Linked DNA regions of Tamandua tetradactyla. The protein of the gene in region 1 interacts with the protein of each later gene in a biochemical or structural test. Links are inferred from orthologs where the notes say so. Each region holds a gene or a part of one and is shown on either strand. Other genes may lie near its edges.

The links.
Region 2: the proteins of STUB1 (region 1) and UBE2V1 form a complex in vitro, tested with the Homo sapiens proteins (4 studies listed by BioGRID). The link is inferred for Tamandua tetradactyla from reciprocal best matches to the Homo sapiens genes STUB1 and UBE2V1.

What each region holds. Positions count from the first base shown.
Region 1 is NC_135349.1:56,698,744-56,705,997, reverse strand, and holds STUB1 (E3 ubiquitin-protein ligase CHIP), read left to right. Parts: upstream 1-4,381; 5' UTR 4,382-4,475; coding exon 4,476-4,628; intron 4,629-5,167; coding exon 5,168-5,366; intron 5,367-5,455; coding exon 5,456-5,621; intron 5,622-5,821; coding exon 5,822-5,909; intron 5,910-5,968; exon of another isoform or gene 5,969-5,996; coding exon 5,997-6,053; exon of another isoform or gene 6,054-6,150; coding exon 6,151-6,480; 3' UTR 6,481-6,745; downstream 6,746-7,254. Other genes in the region: RHBDL1 (rhomboid-related protein 1), read left to right, coding at 1,346-1,384, 1,695-1,856, 2,002-2,226, 2,296-2,444, 2,556-2,668, 2,736-2,836, 2,911-2,971, 3,045-3,316; JMJD8 (jmjC domain-containing protein 8), read right to left, coding at 6,783-6,863, 6,938-7,072, 7,165-7,232. UniProt on the Homo sapiens protein: E3 ubiquitin-protein ligase which targets misfolded chaperone substrates towards proteasomal degradation.
Region 2 is NC_135327.1:2,664,802-2,672,567, forward strand, and holds the start of UBE2V1 (ubiquitin-conjugating enzyme E2 variant 1), read left to right. Parts: upstream 1-4,762; 5' UTR 4,763-4,770; coding exon 4,771-4,873; intron 4,874-5,071; exon of another isoform or gene 5,072-5,177; intron 5,178-7,766. UniProt on the Homo sapiens protein: Has no ubiquitin ligase activity on its own. The UBE2V1-UBE2N heterodimer catalyzes the synthesis of non-canonical poly-ubiquitin chains that are linked through Lys-63.

The DNA of each region.
Region 1 (7,254 bases):
CCAGCGATGGCTGGGACATGGGGCCGTTCTGTTCATGCTGGCACCATCAGTATTGGTCAAGCTGGTTCCTGGCCAGGGGCTGTCCATTCCTCCTACAGGACAGTCACAATCCCCTGGCTGAGGGGAGGGCTGGCTTAGGGTAGGGGGGCCCATCAGCTTCGCAGAGCAGCCCCGTTGGGTGTTCCTGGCCCAAGCCAAGTGCCATTATCTGCTGGCCCCGGTGCTTGGGGGCTGGCACCCAGAACCCCACGGCAGAGGGAGGGGGAGGAGCCAGGGCTGCCTCTGCACCCCAGGGCCCTTCCTTGGCCCTGTCCGTGCCCTCCTGTGCTGGGCAGACCCCTGAGCCAGCCAAGTGCTGTGACCCGCTGGGGAGGGCAGCTGCCGTGTGGGGCCACTCAGGGCTGGTCCTGGAGGGTCTTGACTGTGACCCTTGCACTGCTGGCCTCCCTGGGCCTGCTTCTGGGTGAGCAGGAAGCTGCATCTGGCCTGATGTTCCTGCCCAGGGCTCAGCAGCCTGGAGCAGTGGCCCCAGTGGGAGTGAGCCCTGAGCTCCGACTGGCCTGTGGAGGGGTTGCTATGGCTGCCCATCCCCTTGGTCTCTGTCACACTACTACCCGGGTCTGTCCGCCTGGCCTTCAGAAGTTCTGGCTGCAGCCCTGCCTACCTGGGACTCTGTCCTGCTGGCCCAGACCTGCCTAAGAACCCTGGGCCAGGCCCTGGTGTTCCCTGGGGCTCAGCAGGTTGGCCGTCCAGCACCTGTGGCAAGGACGCTACTGAGCCCACGATGGGGCAGGCTGGGCTGGCTGAGCAGGGCCCCGCGGCCTCCCCTCCCCTGGCCCGCGTGGGTGGCAGCAGTGGCCTTCCCAGGCATAGGGTGGGGGTACCCAGCAGGGGCTGGTCTAGCCAGTGAGCAAATGAGCCAGAGGGAGTGGGAAGCGCGGATGCCTGAGGAGTGGTGGCCAGGAAGGCTGCCTGCTGAAGATGACTGCACTCCGAGGCTGGGGCTCCCTGAGATGGGGAGGATGGACACTGGGCAGGTGCAGCACGGGAGGAGACTAGGGCGCAGCAACCTGAGTCAATCTCAGCCGCTGAATGCGGGAGGCGAAGCTGCAACCCGGCTCCGCGGTGGGGCGGGCGGCGCGCGGGAGCCGCGTGCATGCGGGGCGGTGCCTCTGCGCGCCGGCGGGCGGCGTGTGCAGCACGGAGCGGGCGGGGCGGTGGCTCCGTGACGCGGCCCCCAGCGCGGCGGCGCCGAGCTGAGCAGGCGGAGCGGGCCGGCCGGGGCGGAGCGGAGACCGCAGAGCAGTCCGGCCCGGCCCGCGGCCGCCCGCCCCGGCCCGGCTCTATGGACAGGAGCTCGCTGCTGCAGCTCATCCAGGAGCAGGTGCGTGGGAAAGGGGGCAGGGGCGACGCCCACCCCGCGAGGCCCTCCCGGCGGCTGCGGCGGGACTCCCCCGAGAGCGTCAAGCCCCCAGCCCCTGCACCCCGCCGTCCCCTTCCCGCGCGACCTTGGCCCCTGCGTTTGCGCCCCCAGAAGAGGATGAGTGGGAGACCCACCCCTCCCGAGACAGGGTGGAGCTGAGGCAGGCAGTCCCTGGAGCCCCCCGAGCCCGAGGACTGCTCGGAACCTGGCCCACCCCTGTGGTGTGGGGGGCCGGGCTGCCCTCAGGCCTTGGTCACCCCTCTCCCTCCAGCAACTGGACCCCGAGAACACAGGCTTCATTGGTGCTGATACCTTCGCTGGCCTGGTGCACAGCCATGAGCTGCCCCTGGACCCCTCCAAACTGGACATGCTGGTGGCCCTGGCCCAGAGCAACGAGCAGGGCCAGGTGTGCTACCAGGAGCTGGTGGATCTGGTCAGTGCCAGGCGGGGCGGGCAGCGGGGGCTGCGGGGGTGGGCAGGGGTGCCTTCCTCCCCACCCTTCCTGCTGGGGAGGTCTTCTGGGCAGGGAGGTGCTACGGGAGGGGCACCATGGCCCACGCCCAGGCCCCGCGCCCCAGATCAGCAGCAAGCGCTCCAGCAGCTTCAAGCGCGCCATGGCCAACGGGCAGCGGGCCCTGCCCCGGGATGGGCTGCTGGACGAGCCGGGCCTGGGCGTCTACAAACGCTTCGTGCGCTACGTGGCCTACGAGATCCTGCCCTGCGAGGTGGACCGCCGCTGGTACTTCTACCGGCACCGCAGCTGCCCGCCCCCCGTGTTCATGGCCTCTGTCACGCTCGCCCAGGTGAGCCGCGCCCCTAGGCCGCGAGCTGCCCGCACCCGGCATGCCCTAACCTTCGGGCCCGCACCCCAGATTGTCGTGTTTCTGTGCTACGGGGCCCGCCTCAACAAGTGGGTGCTGCAGACCTACCACCCCGAGTACATGAAGAGCCCCCTCGTGTACCACCCCGGGCACCGCGCGCGCGCCTGGCGCTTTCTCACGTACATGTTCATGCACGTCGGGTGAGTGGGACCCGCGGGGGCGTCGGCACCGCCGAGCGGGGGTGGGGGGCGGGGACAACCGAGAGTGCCGCGCCCCTCACACCCTTGCGTGCTTCTGCCCCGCGCGGCCAGGCTGGAGCAGCTGGGCTTCAACGCGCTGCTGCAGCTGATGATCGGGGTGCCGCTGGAGATGGTGCACGGGCTGCTGCGCATCAGCCTCCTCTACCTGGCGGGCGTGCTGGCAGGTGAGGCGGGGGGACGGGCGCACCCCACCCGCCCGCGGGCCGCCCTCACGGCCTCTCCTGCCCGCAGGCTCCCTGACCGTCTCCATCACCGACATGCGGGCCCCCGTGGTAGGGGGCTCCGGCGGTGTCTACGCGCTCTGCTCGGCGCACCTGGCCAACGTTGTCATGGTAAGGGGGCGCCTGGGGGCCGGGAAGGGGCCGCGGGGCCGGGCCTGATGCCGTCTCTATGCTTGCCCCGGCAGAACTGGGCGGGCATGCGGTGTCCCTACAAGCTGCTGAGGATGGTGCTGGCGCTGGTGTGCAGTGAGTAGGGGGCTGCCGGGCGGGCGGGCCCCCCACCCGGGGCGCCTCCCCAGCGCTGCGCTTGCCTCCGCAGTGAGTTCCGAGGTGGGCCGGGCCGTGTGGCTGCGCTTCTCCCCGCCGCTGCCCGCCTCGGGCCCGCAGCCCAGCTTCATGGCGCACCTGGCAGGCGCGGTGGTGGGCGTGAGCATGGGGCTGACCATCCTGCGCAGCTACGAGGAGCGCCTGCGGGACCAGTGCGGCTGGTGGGTGGTGCTGCTTGCCTACGGCACCTTCCTGCTCTTCGCCGTTTTCTGGAACGTCTTCGCCTATGACCTCCTAGGCGCCCACGTCCCCCCGCCGCCCTGACGTCGCGGCCCCGGGCAGGCGCGGGGGCAGTGCGCCCACCGCCCCGAGCGTGCGCCCCGAAGCGGTGCCCTCCTGCTGGCGGGCCGCCGAGCGCTGCAGCCTGGGGCGGGAGGCCCCCGAGGAGGCCCCGGCCCGGCCCCACCCCGGGACCTGCAGACTGAGCCTTTTTGGAGAACGAATAAATATTCTACACGGCACCGGGTGGCGCTGCCGGGGCTGGGGGACTCGTCCGGCGCCCACCGCCAAGCGGCTGGAGCCGGGGGCGGGCAGCGGGGCGGTGCGGCCGCGGTTTCCAGGCTCCGGCTGGGAGGGGCAGAAGGAACCCGGGCGCGCCTGCTCCCCTCCGCCGGCACCGCGAAGGCCGCCCCTGCTCCAAGCCCTCGGCCCTCGAACAGCCGGTGACGAGGGCTGCCCACGGCCGCTTCGCCCTCGCCGCGCCACGGCCTCCGTGACCGGCGGGCACGAGGGCCGGAAGGTGGCGGCGCCGAGTTCGGGGTCACCATGGAGCACGAGCGGCAGCCGGGCCGGGGTCGCATGTGGGGCACTGGGGAGGCGAGGCTGCACCCCCGCTGCCCTTTCCCTCGACCCCGGCCGCTCCGGTGCGCCTCGGGTCACGCGCTTGTTGGCCGGCCTCGAGGACCGCGGCGAATTCTCCGGATGCCTGGACGGGATCACGGGAGCCGGGCGGCGGGGTGCGCCCCGCCTGCCACCCCATCCCGCCCGCAGGAGGGCGCGCAGCGAGTCTGCGCGCCGGGGCGGGGCTTCGCGGGGGGAGGGTCCAATCGGGGGGCGGGGCTCCGATGGGAGGCGGGGTCGACTCCGAGGAGCCTCGGAAGCGCGGCTCCGTGCACGCGTGCAGCCCACGAGCCTCGAGAAAAAGTACTCGTGGCGTCAGGCGGGGGTCGGGCAGCCCAGCCGCCTCAGCCTCGGGGCCTCAGGCGACCCTCGCGGCCGCCACGTTCTCCTCGGCGGCAGCTACCGCGTAGCCCCTCCCCGTCGCGAGGCGCGTCGCGCACGCGCGGCCCCGCCCCCGCGCGGCCGGAAGTTCCGGTGGCGGCTCCGTAGACCTGGCCCGAGTGGATCCCGGGCTTCGGCGGGGCCTCGGGCGGCGGGTGCAGGGCGGGCCGGGCGCGGAGCCCAGGCCGGGCCGCGCGGCGCCATGAAGGGCAAGGAGGAGAAGGAGAGCGGCGCGCGGCTGGGCGGCGGAAGCCCTGAGAAGAGCCCGAGCGCGCAGGAGCTCAAGGAGCAGGGCAACCGGCTGTTTGTGGGCCGCAAGTACCCGGAGGCAGCGGCCTGCTACGGCCGCGCCATCGTGAGTGCGCCGGGGCCCGGACGGGATCGAGGTCGGGATGGGGGCGAGGGGCGGGGCTCCCGGCTCCACCCCGCATCCAGCACCATCCCCTAGCCGGCCTCCCAGCCGGTCCCGCCGAGGATCTCGGCTCCTACCTGCGGGACATGGGCCCCGAGCACTAGGTAAGCCTCTTGTTGTCATTGGGCAGAGGCCGGGGCTGTCGAGACCGGCGCTCGTGGGTTAGGCTTCAGGGTACCTGGGGCCGGCTGGTTTGGAAGCTGGGAACTCTTACCCCGTGGGTCCCTATAGGTTTGGAAACTCAGTTACCAAATCAGTTTGGGTCAAACCAGGATAGGCTGTCAAGCTTCAGGCCAGACTCCACCCTCAGCAGGTCCTGACCCAACAGCTTTGGCAGCTTAGAAGCTTCAAGCTTTTTTCACCCAGTTATGGACCCTATAGCTGGGACAGAACCAGGGGCAGCAGGGCATCAGCTTTTTGGGGCAGAGGTCCCAGACTGAGCTCACTCCCTCATGCCAGTTGACCCAGCTCTTGGTCCCCAGACACGGAACCCCCTGGTGGCTGTGTATTACACCAACCGGGCCCTGTGCTACCTGAAGATGCAGCAGCTTGAGCAGGCATTGGCTGACTGCCGTCGCGCTCTGGAGCTGGATGGGCAGTCTGTGAAGGCGCACTTCTTCCTGGGTCAGTGCCAGCTGGAGATGGAGAGCTATGACGAAGCCATTGCAAATTTGCAGCGAGGTGGGCCAACAGGCTGGCTGCAAGGGCGCCTCAGTCTGGGACTGGGTGGGTGGGTGGCCAGAAGGTGACTTGCACCTCCACTCCCCCAGCGTACAATCTGGCCAAGGAGCAGCGGCTCAACTTTGGGGATGATATCCCCAGTGCTCTGCGCATTGCCAAGAAGAAGCGCTGGAACAGCATGGAAGAGCGGCGCGTCCATCAAGAGAACGAGCTGCACTCATACCTGACACGCCTCATCATGGCTGAGCGTGAGAGGTGGGTGGGGCAGGCCCTCCTCTAGCCCATCACCCACTTTTGAGGTTAACTGAGTCACAAACAGAAATGTTTATGGGAGATCAGTGCTGGCGAGCAGAAAGCAAAGGAGACAAGGTCTGGGCTATAACCCTGAGGCTGGAGTTGTGGTCTCACTTCTCTTGCCCAGACCCATCTCTGACTAGTTCCTGGTCGACCCCCAGGGAACTGGAAGAATGTCGGCGGAGCCACGAGGGTGATGAGGATGATGGCCACATCCGGGCCCAGCAGGCCTGCATCGAGGCCAAGCACGTGAGCGTGCCACCAGCCCATGAGGCCCGCACAGGGGGAAGGGAGCTGCAGTGTCCGGCCATTGCACAGCTTTGTGTTTATTTGCAGGACAAATACTTGGCAGACATGGACGAGCTCTTCTCGCAGGTGGATGAGAAGAGAAAGGTGAGGCTTGAGGCTGCTCTGTGCCCTGGGGCCTGCAGGTGGCAGGGGATGGAACAGTGTCCCCTCCCCAGGCCCTGATCCCTCCCGTGTGCCACAGAAGCGTGATATCCCTGACTACCTGTGTGGCAAGATCAGCTTCGAGCTGATGCGGGAGCCATGCATCACACCAAGTGGCATCACCTATGACCGCAAGGACATCGAGGAGCACCTGCAGGTGAGGCCTGGCAGGGCAGCAGGGTTGGAGCCAACAGTTTGCCCAGGGGGGCCAGCTGAGCACCCTTGGGCCCTCTTGTCACTGCAGCGTGTGGGCCACTTTGATCCTGTGACCCGGAGCCCCCTGACCCAGGAACAGCTCATCCCCAACCTGGCCATGAAGGAAGTCATCGATGCATTTGTCTCCGAGAACGGCTGGGTGGAGGATTACTGAGGGAGGACCCACCAAGGGCCACTCCCCGCACTCACTGCACCCTAGCCCAGGACCCGGGTCCCGGTCTCTGTACATAGTTTGGGTGTCTGGATCCCAGTCCCTCACCTGCCTCCTCCGCCATTCGTTCTGCTGTTGGCTCTGGACTGTTTGCGCTCAGCTAGGGTGTAAGCCTCCCCCATCTCCCTCAGGCCCAAAACAGCAGGCAAGGGTTGGGTGGGCTGGGGCCACCACCGCCACTGCCCTGGAATAAAGTCTGTGAGCACTACGTGGGCACATGCTGGCTGTGGGAGGCTTGGCAGGTGCTATCCAAGGAAAGTAGAGATGAAGACGCTGGTGTCAAGATTGAGGGTGGCATGCCACCACCGATCAGGGAAATACAGCACCTGGTACACAGGAGGAGGGGCCAGGATGAGTCAGGGCCTCAGCCTGGCCTGGCCCCCTCAGGGCAACCACAGACCTCGCCAGGGCGGATGGTACACTCCAGGGGCCGTTCCAAGGGCGCCAGGGCTGGATACACATCCTGGAGCCAGGCCAGTGTGGTTTTGTTGGGGTGGAACTCTGGTGTCTTCTCTGGGGGATACAGGAACCAGCGCTGGGGTTGAAGGTTGCGAAATCATTCCTGAGCTCTGGTGGCCAGTGAGCTCCCAACCTCAGTCCCCGCCACCACCCCCATCCCACGCTGACCTTACGACCATAGATGACTTCCGAGTACCCGGGCCCATGCCAGTGGAAGGGCACCCCAGAGCCAGCTCCTGTGGAGTGAATCAGTAGCAG
Region 2 (7,766 bases), on another chromosome or scaffold:
AATTTTTAATCGGTTCAGGGCTGATTCCTAACAATGAATTGCTGATCAAAGGTGTGTGTTTTAAACTTTGATACCTCCTTCCCAATCCTCTTCTACAAGGGTTGTGCCAATTTATACTCTCACAACAACTTTTGAGAGTGCCTGTTACCTCACACCCTTGCCAACAGAGTACATTATCGAATGTTCTGTTCTCTGCCAATCTGATAGGTGGTTTTAATTTGCATTTCTCTTAGCGAATTACAGGGAATCTAAGATATCATCCATTGTAAGATGCATCCTGATTCCAGAGATGTTTGAATGTAAAACTTAGATTCAATGAAATACAATACGTAGAATGAGATTGGGTGTGTCTTATCATGAGCTTAAAAGGCATTTGGATCTCTATCTCAAATCCCAGCTCTGCCACTTATAAACTGTGTTACTTTGGCAAGTTACTTATCCTGTTTGTGCCTCAGTTTCCTTATCTGTAAAATAGGGATAATAATGGTACCTACCTCATAGGATTGTTGTGAAGATAAAATGAATTAATATGTACAAAATACTATGTGCCTAGAACATAGTAAATGCTCAATAAATGTTTGCTATGATTATTGCTTTCTTTTGGGTTCATTTTTTTCTTGACAAAAATGCAAGAGCTCTTTATAAATGAAGGAAACTCATCCGTTTTGTCATTCTCCTGCCCTGTATCCCTAGTTTTTATTCCCTTTTTTCCTGACCATAAAAGTACAAAATTCAAACATTACAGAAATAAATTGTATAGGAAGAAGAAAACAGAAACAAACCAGATAGCACCATGACCCCTACCCATCCACTCCTAACCCTTTTAGGTAGCATATTTTAGCAACTACGTAAAGGATCTACCTTTATATAAAATATCTACACATCGCACATGAAAATCACAATTGTGCCTAATGCTGTAGTGCATGGCTCACGTGGGGTCCATGGGTCCATGTATGTGTCAAAACAGCACCAGCCAATGTGTCATGCCCACTGTCAACCACAGACTCCTCCCAGGGATTCTATGATCCATTTTCTGGTGGTCTGTGGCCCTTCCTGTCAACAATTTGTCAGCTTTACTTTCAATAGTTTTTATTATACAGGCTATAGCAGGAGGGTTTTTTTTTTCCCTTAACTATAAGTAAAAGTACAGCCATAACATTATAGGATGCAGTCCACACCTTGCTACCCAAAGTATGGTCTGTCAATCGGAGAGGCATCCCCTGGGGGATTGTTACAAATGCCGAATCCCAGTGCCATCCCTGGAAGTCGGACATCAGATTCCGCATGTGGCTGTTCAAAGCTGTATGTACCCCAGAAAAAAAATGTTCTTAAATTTAATCCATTCCTGTGTGTGAACCTGTTCTAAGTGAGGTTACTTAACTAAAGTGTGATCTGCCTCACTCAGGATGGGTTTAATCCTATCCTGGAGTCCTTTACACAAGAATGAAATACAGACAGAGAAAGCCACGGAAGCAAGAAGCTGAAATCAAGGAAACCTGAAGGAGAAGGGAGAGCCCAGGAGATGCCACCCTGTGCCTTGCCATGTGACAGAGAAGCCAAGGATTGCTAGCAGCCGGTCTTCAGGAAGAAAGCAACATCTTGAGGATGCCTTGATTTGAACATTTTTCCTGGCCTCAAATCTGAACAAACATATTTCCACTGTTTAACACAGCCGTTTCCTGTTTGCTTTAAGCAGCCTACGAAACTAAAACAGCATTTCAGCAAGATCTCTAGTAATCAGAGTTTGAGAAGCATTGCTTTAAAAATTAAGATATAGATCTTATAAACTATATTGAATATTATGTAGACTACAAATACAAATATGTTGAAAGGTTTTACATTTTGAATATACTTTTTCAAACGCCTTTCGTAGCCTGGGCGTTTTCCTACCTTTTTGAGATTAGAGTTTTTGAATGAACACCATGGAACAATCCAGGTAAATTTACATCTCTTGGCTGGACTCCTGCACCAGCTTCTTGAATCTGTTAAGTGTACTTTTTGCTGTCAGTAACAGAGACCTACCTCTAAGAACAGCTAAAGCAACAGTTGTTATTTCATGTCTTAAGAAGTCTGTAGGTAGGTAGTCTCAGGATTCCTTCAGTAGCTCATACCATCCAGGACCTAACTCTCGCCATCCTTCTGTGCTGGCATCTTTGGTGTGCTAGCTTTTTTGGCATTAGGCATGTGCATCAGCATCGTACCATGGCTGCCACAGCTCTGACCATCACAACCTCATATGGTCATTAGAAGGAAAAGGGACAAAAAGGCTCTCTCCCTAGCTAGTATTAAGGGGAGAGAAACTTTCTAAACATCCCCCTCCCTGGCTAATTGGCCAGAACAGGGACACAGGCACACCACTGGACAAATCACTGGCAAAAGGAAACAGCAGTCCCCATGACTGGCTTGACCAAATCATGATTCACACCTAGCATCACACCCGTTTCTGAGCAATACTAGGTTTGGCAGCCAACAGCGTCTGTCACACCTCCCCTCCAGAGTGCCCCATCCGTCTCCTTGAGACAGCCAGGCTGCACTTTCTAAAAATGCAAACCTGCCCATGTCCTGCTTAAAACCTCTGACGTCCACCTGCCTCACAGGGAAAACGGCAGGTAGGACAGGGTTAAGGGACATGAGTTCTAACCTGATTTTACCCCCTTTCTTTGTTGTGTGACCCTAGGAGAGGCATTTAACTCGCCCCAACCTCAGTTTCCTCGCCTGAAAAACGGAGACTAACGTCTTTATAGTGACTTTGCAACGGTCACTGAGGATAAAACAAAAGGAGGCTAAAAGGCGCTAATACTCACATAGCCCCTACTCCGTGCGGGCACTTCCTAAATCCCTCAGTTCTAGTGATGTCTCACTCATCCCAGCAACCCGATAAAGCAGGGCTCTTGCCCCAGCCGCTGGCGCCACGAGCGCTGACGCTGAGCGGGGCCGAGCGGAGCCGGGCGGGGCCGCGGGCGGATGCGGGGTTGGGCCGTGGGGGGTGCGGGGTGGGGCCGCAGGGGCCTGCCGCCGAGCGCAGGGGGAGGGCCGGGCGGGGTGCCGGCCGGGAGCAGCCGCGGGCGGGTGCGGGCCGGCCGGGCGGGGCACCACAACCCCCAGCGTGCGCCGGCCAGCACCCGGGGAGGCCTCTTCCGCGTGGGCTGGTCGCTACTCCAGGCAGGCTCGTGGGGTTCCGGGGCAACACTTCGCTTTACTGTCAGTTTACCGCACGAAAAGGCGGATACTATTGTCCCCCTTTTCAGAAGGCGGAACCGAAGTCAGGACAGGTAAGTCCCACAGCAGAGCGCGCGGCGGGGGAGGGCTGCCCCGCGGCCATTTCCCTCCAGAAGACGCTACCACGACCCAGAGTCCAGCGCAGGGATCTCCTCCAGGCAGCCCCGCGATACACGGATGAACGTCAGGGCGCATCACGCGTGGCCCTCAGAGAGCCGATTATAGCTTAGACCTGGCTAGAGAGACCAGGGCAGGCTCCCTGCGGCCGTGCGGCGCCCGCGTTCCTGAGACAGAGAGGGGACGGCACAGGCAGGGGCCCTAAGGAGGGAGGGGCACGTCGGGGTCCAGGTTTCGAGAAGCCCACAGCAGCTCTGGGATGCGGACAGGGCCGCCAGGGCCTCGCGGGCAGCTTGGCCGTCCAAGCTGATCCACGCCGGAGCTGGTGGACTCTGCAAGGTTCCAACAGGCCCCTTTCCTCCTGATGACTGTCCCTGCTGGACGATTAAGTCCATGGTTCCTCAGTTTGGAGGTCTGCATTTTACCCAGGAGAAACGGGGAGCCACTGAGGCTTTAGAAGGGTGTTTTGAGCAGATCTGTCATGGAGAACGGCCCGTGGGGGCAAGAGCGGAAGCCTCTGCGGCCATCAAATCAGAGACAAGGGCCGCCTGCCCCGAGTGGGAGAAGGGGATGGAGTTGAGAGACGCTTCCGAGGCATTCCTGTCAGAACAAGGCGGTGCAGGGGCGCGCCTGGCCAGCGCTTCCAGCTTCTCTGCCCCCCCCCCCCGTCCTTCGTCTCCCGGGTTTAAGATGCGGACCTTGAGCCCGTCCCTTCTCCCCTGTCAGTCCAGTCTTCAGATCCGGATAAGAGCCCATGGGACTCTTGGATTTAACTTGTGTCCAGGCCTTTGCTGTTTCCTCTACCCCTTCTCACCTGCAGGTTCGGATGAAACGCGACCGCCTCTGGGGGCCCTCCGTGACCACCCCTGCCGCCCCTTCTCTGATTTACTCTCCTTTCGATCATAGCCATGATAAGAAAAAATGTCCTTTCCTATTTAGTTGTCTCTCTGTGGATCTCCTCTGACTAGAACGTAAGCCTTTAAGAGCGGGAACTTACTTCTTCAGGGATGTTCGTCCACCCCGGTGCCTGGCACAGCGCCTGGTACACAGTAGGTGCTTACTAACTATGTCTGAAGGCGTGGATGGGCGACTGCTTTCCCTGCCCGCTCCATGCCCCTTCAAGCCGGCCGCGGCCAGCAGCGGCTGTGGGTGCGACCCTCCGCGCGCCTGGCGCTGTCACAGAACCCGGCGACGCGGCCGCTGGAGGCCCTGACAGACCGGGAAAGCCCGGGTGACCGGGGCTGGATTCTGACGCGTTCCCTCTCGAGTCCCAGCACCCTAGCCCTTCTCACCAAGCACCTCGGTGCCTCTCTCGCACCGCGCCCGGAGGGACTCCTCTCCTCGGGTAATTCCTCTCTCAAAACGGAAAGTAAAAACCGTCCCGACAACCCGGCGCAGGGTGCGCGGAGTGGGCCTCAGCGACGGCGTCTGCGCATGCGCGCGCGGTTGCGCATGCGGACCCGGGCCGGGCGGGGGGTGAAGAAGGGGCCGGCCTTCGAGCGACAGCGACGCAAGATGGCAGCCACCACGGGCTCGGGTGAGCGGGGGCGCCGGGCCGCAGCCGCCGGGGCGCGGGGTCGGGCCGGGAACCCGGGACTCACAAAGACCCTTGCAGCCAGGCCAGGGCACTTGCGCTGCCTCCGTCCTCTGGGCGCTGAGGCGGCAACCAGGGCGACCCTACGAGGGAGGCGGAGCAGGCGGTGGCCGGAAGCACGGGCGGGGGCCTGAGGGGCCTGTGGGCGGCGCGGCAAGGCCCAGAGGCTCCCCCGGGCGGCCTGTGGGTCCCTCTGGGAGGAAGGGCCGGGCCCAGCGGCGCTGCTGAGAAACCGGAGTAGGCCGGGGTGAGCCCTGAGGGCACAGCTGGGAAAGCTGGGACTGGCGGCGCCTTGGGAGAGCTCGAGGGGGGTTCTCTAGAGGATGAGCATGCACCCCCAACGCGGCAGGAGCGCCCGACTGGGTGCTGGGAGCCCGGGTGACGAGGGGGCCGTGGGATATTGGTTTTGAGGAGACATCAGAGAAGCCCATCAGGATGGATGGGAGGAGGAAACGGATCTTGAGGGGATGCCTGAGAGGACCGCCCCCATGGGTTAAGGGGCTCCAGTCGGTTTTGGGGATGGGGTTGGCTGAGGAAATCTGCGTGTTGATTAGAAAGGAGGAAGCCAGGGGTCGCTACTTTGGGAGGAGAATAAGGGTATCTCCACAGGATGAGTGAAGGGGAAAATGGAGTCAGATTCCAGAGGGATCTTGTCGGGGTGACTGATAGTGAAATGACCCCATCATTACCAGGCACTTATTCAAAGGGACAGATGGGTTCCTCCGAGTTAGATTTTAGAAGGCAAGCTCTGAATTGGGCAGTTCCTGGAAGCCTCCGATGTTGGGTGAGGGGAACAGGGTGGAAACTAGGGGTGTCTGTGGGAGGGGGAGGGGATCAAGTGAGGGAAGCCCCTCGCAACGGGTAAGAGTGGGAAGAGGTCAGGTTGCAGAGATGTTTCAGAGAAGAAAAATCTCCTCTTTGATTGGACGGTGGGAACATACCTTAGAAGTGCCTGTTTTGCAGAGATTGCCTGCACCTCACTCCCTTCCACCTCTGGATATTGGAGATACATATGTATGTTCAGATGGGAAGTTTCTCAATGGCTGGAGGTGGAAGTTGAGGGGGAGAAACAGATGAAATAGGAGCACCAGGGTAGTTGTTTGGATAAGAAAGGCTGAGCAAACCCCCACTTCTGAATGGACAGCAGAAACAGGGAGTTTTGGGGGGAGGCAGGGGCGGGGGGGGGGGGTCTCCTTCCAGTCTCTAGATAGGTCGAGGGAGACAACACTTATTTTGATACTCAGTTCCCCGTGATGGACCAGAGGCTCAAACTCCAAAAGGTGTGTTTCAGGATTAACACTCTACAGGTTGGACATCAGGGGGTGGGCTCAGCTGGCCTTTGCGGGGGGGTGGGGGGGGCAAGGCGGTGGGTGGAGATTGGCTAGGGGTGATGGCTGATGAAACCAGAGAATCAGATTGGGGAAGAGCAGAGTTTGGGGGAGACAGAGTGTTCCTCTTTTGGTAAGGACAGCAGGCTTGGCCAAGTTCTCCCAGACGGGATGAAGATGGGTAGCCCCTGATGGATGAGGCAGACCCGACCACACTGGAGAAGAGAGTTCGATGCCTGCAGGGACACCAACTTAAAATCCCCAGGCTGTTTAAGGCCACGGTGTTGGGTGAGGGTTGGTGACCAACGAGGAACTGAGTGTGGGCAGCCCGTATTTCTAGGGTGTTGCTCTTCTCTGAAGGTCATCAAGTACCCCAAGAAGCCATCCTATTGTGATTGTTAGGGTGAGGAATTGGAGGTCTGACAAAAGTGATCCACCACAGCCTGCCTTTGACACTCAAAGCAGTGGGTCTGTTTGGAGGATATAGAGACTTCACATTCCTTTCCTAGGCTTTTTTTTTTTTTTTAAGTTTGAACAGTGCTGAGTTAATTCATTTGCTGAGACACTGCCGCAGACACTCCCAGAAGATAGAGGCTGAGTCAGGCCAGTCTTCTGTGGGAAACTTCTCATCAGAAAAACACCCCTGCCAGGTTGCTAGGAACTAGGGGATGGTAGGGCTTATGGCAGCCAGCGTTATGGCGGTATTGCAGCTCAGCCTTCGAGACTGGCTTCCTACAATCCGGTTTAACAGCTTCTTAATTCTGACTTCTTGAGGCCCTACCAATTGAAGAGTGCTTCGTAAATGCTGTAAAGCATTCTCAGTGTCAAGCTAGTGGAATATAAGAGCATTTGGTGTGATTTAAGATAACAGAACAGACTTTAAGGTATCCTAAAATGGACTTTCCAAAACTCCTTTGTTTATTCAACAAGTATTTACTGAGGTCCTTTTATGTCCCATTGCAAGTAATGACAAGATGGATATGGGCCCTGTCCTTGAGTTGCTTCTGTTCTAGTGGGGGAGAAAGGCTTTAAGGGGGAAATAAATAAGATGGTTTCAGATAGCAGTGAGTGCTATAAAGGAGATTGTGTGGTATGATGGCAAACATCTGGAGAAGTTGTTAGGGAATGCTTCTCTGATAAGGTGGAGTTCGAACTAAGGCAGTGATTGAAGGAGTGAACCCTCAGACTGTGCCACAGGCAGGAGAGGAAGTGAGTGCAAAGCCTCTGTGGTAGGAATGAGCTTGGCATGTTGGAAGAACAGGATAAAAGTGTAATATACAAGGGAGGCTTGTTAAGGAGATGAGTTGGAGAGTATATGGCTTTGGATTTTATTGAATACAAGGGGAAGGCATTGAACAGTGCCTTTGAATAGCCATTGAACAATATGAAGCAGGCATTCAGTAAATATTTCGTGAATGAATGAATAAATGAGAGAATGGGAGTCCTAAAAAGCAGAGTTACAAGATCTGACCTGTGCCCTTAGGCAGAGAAAAGAGTACTAAGTGCTA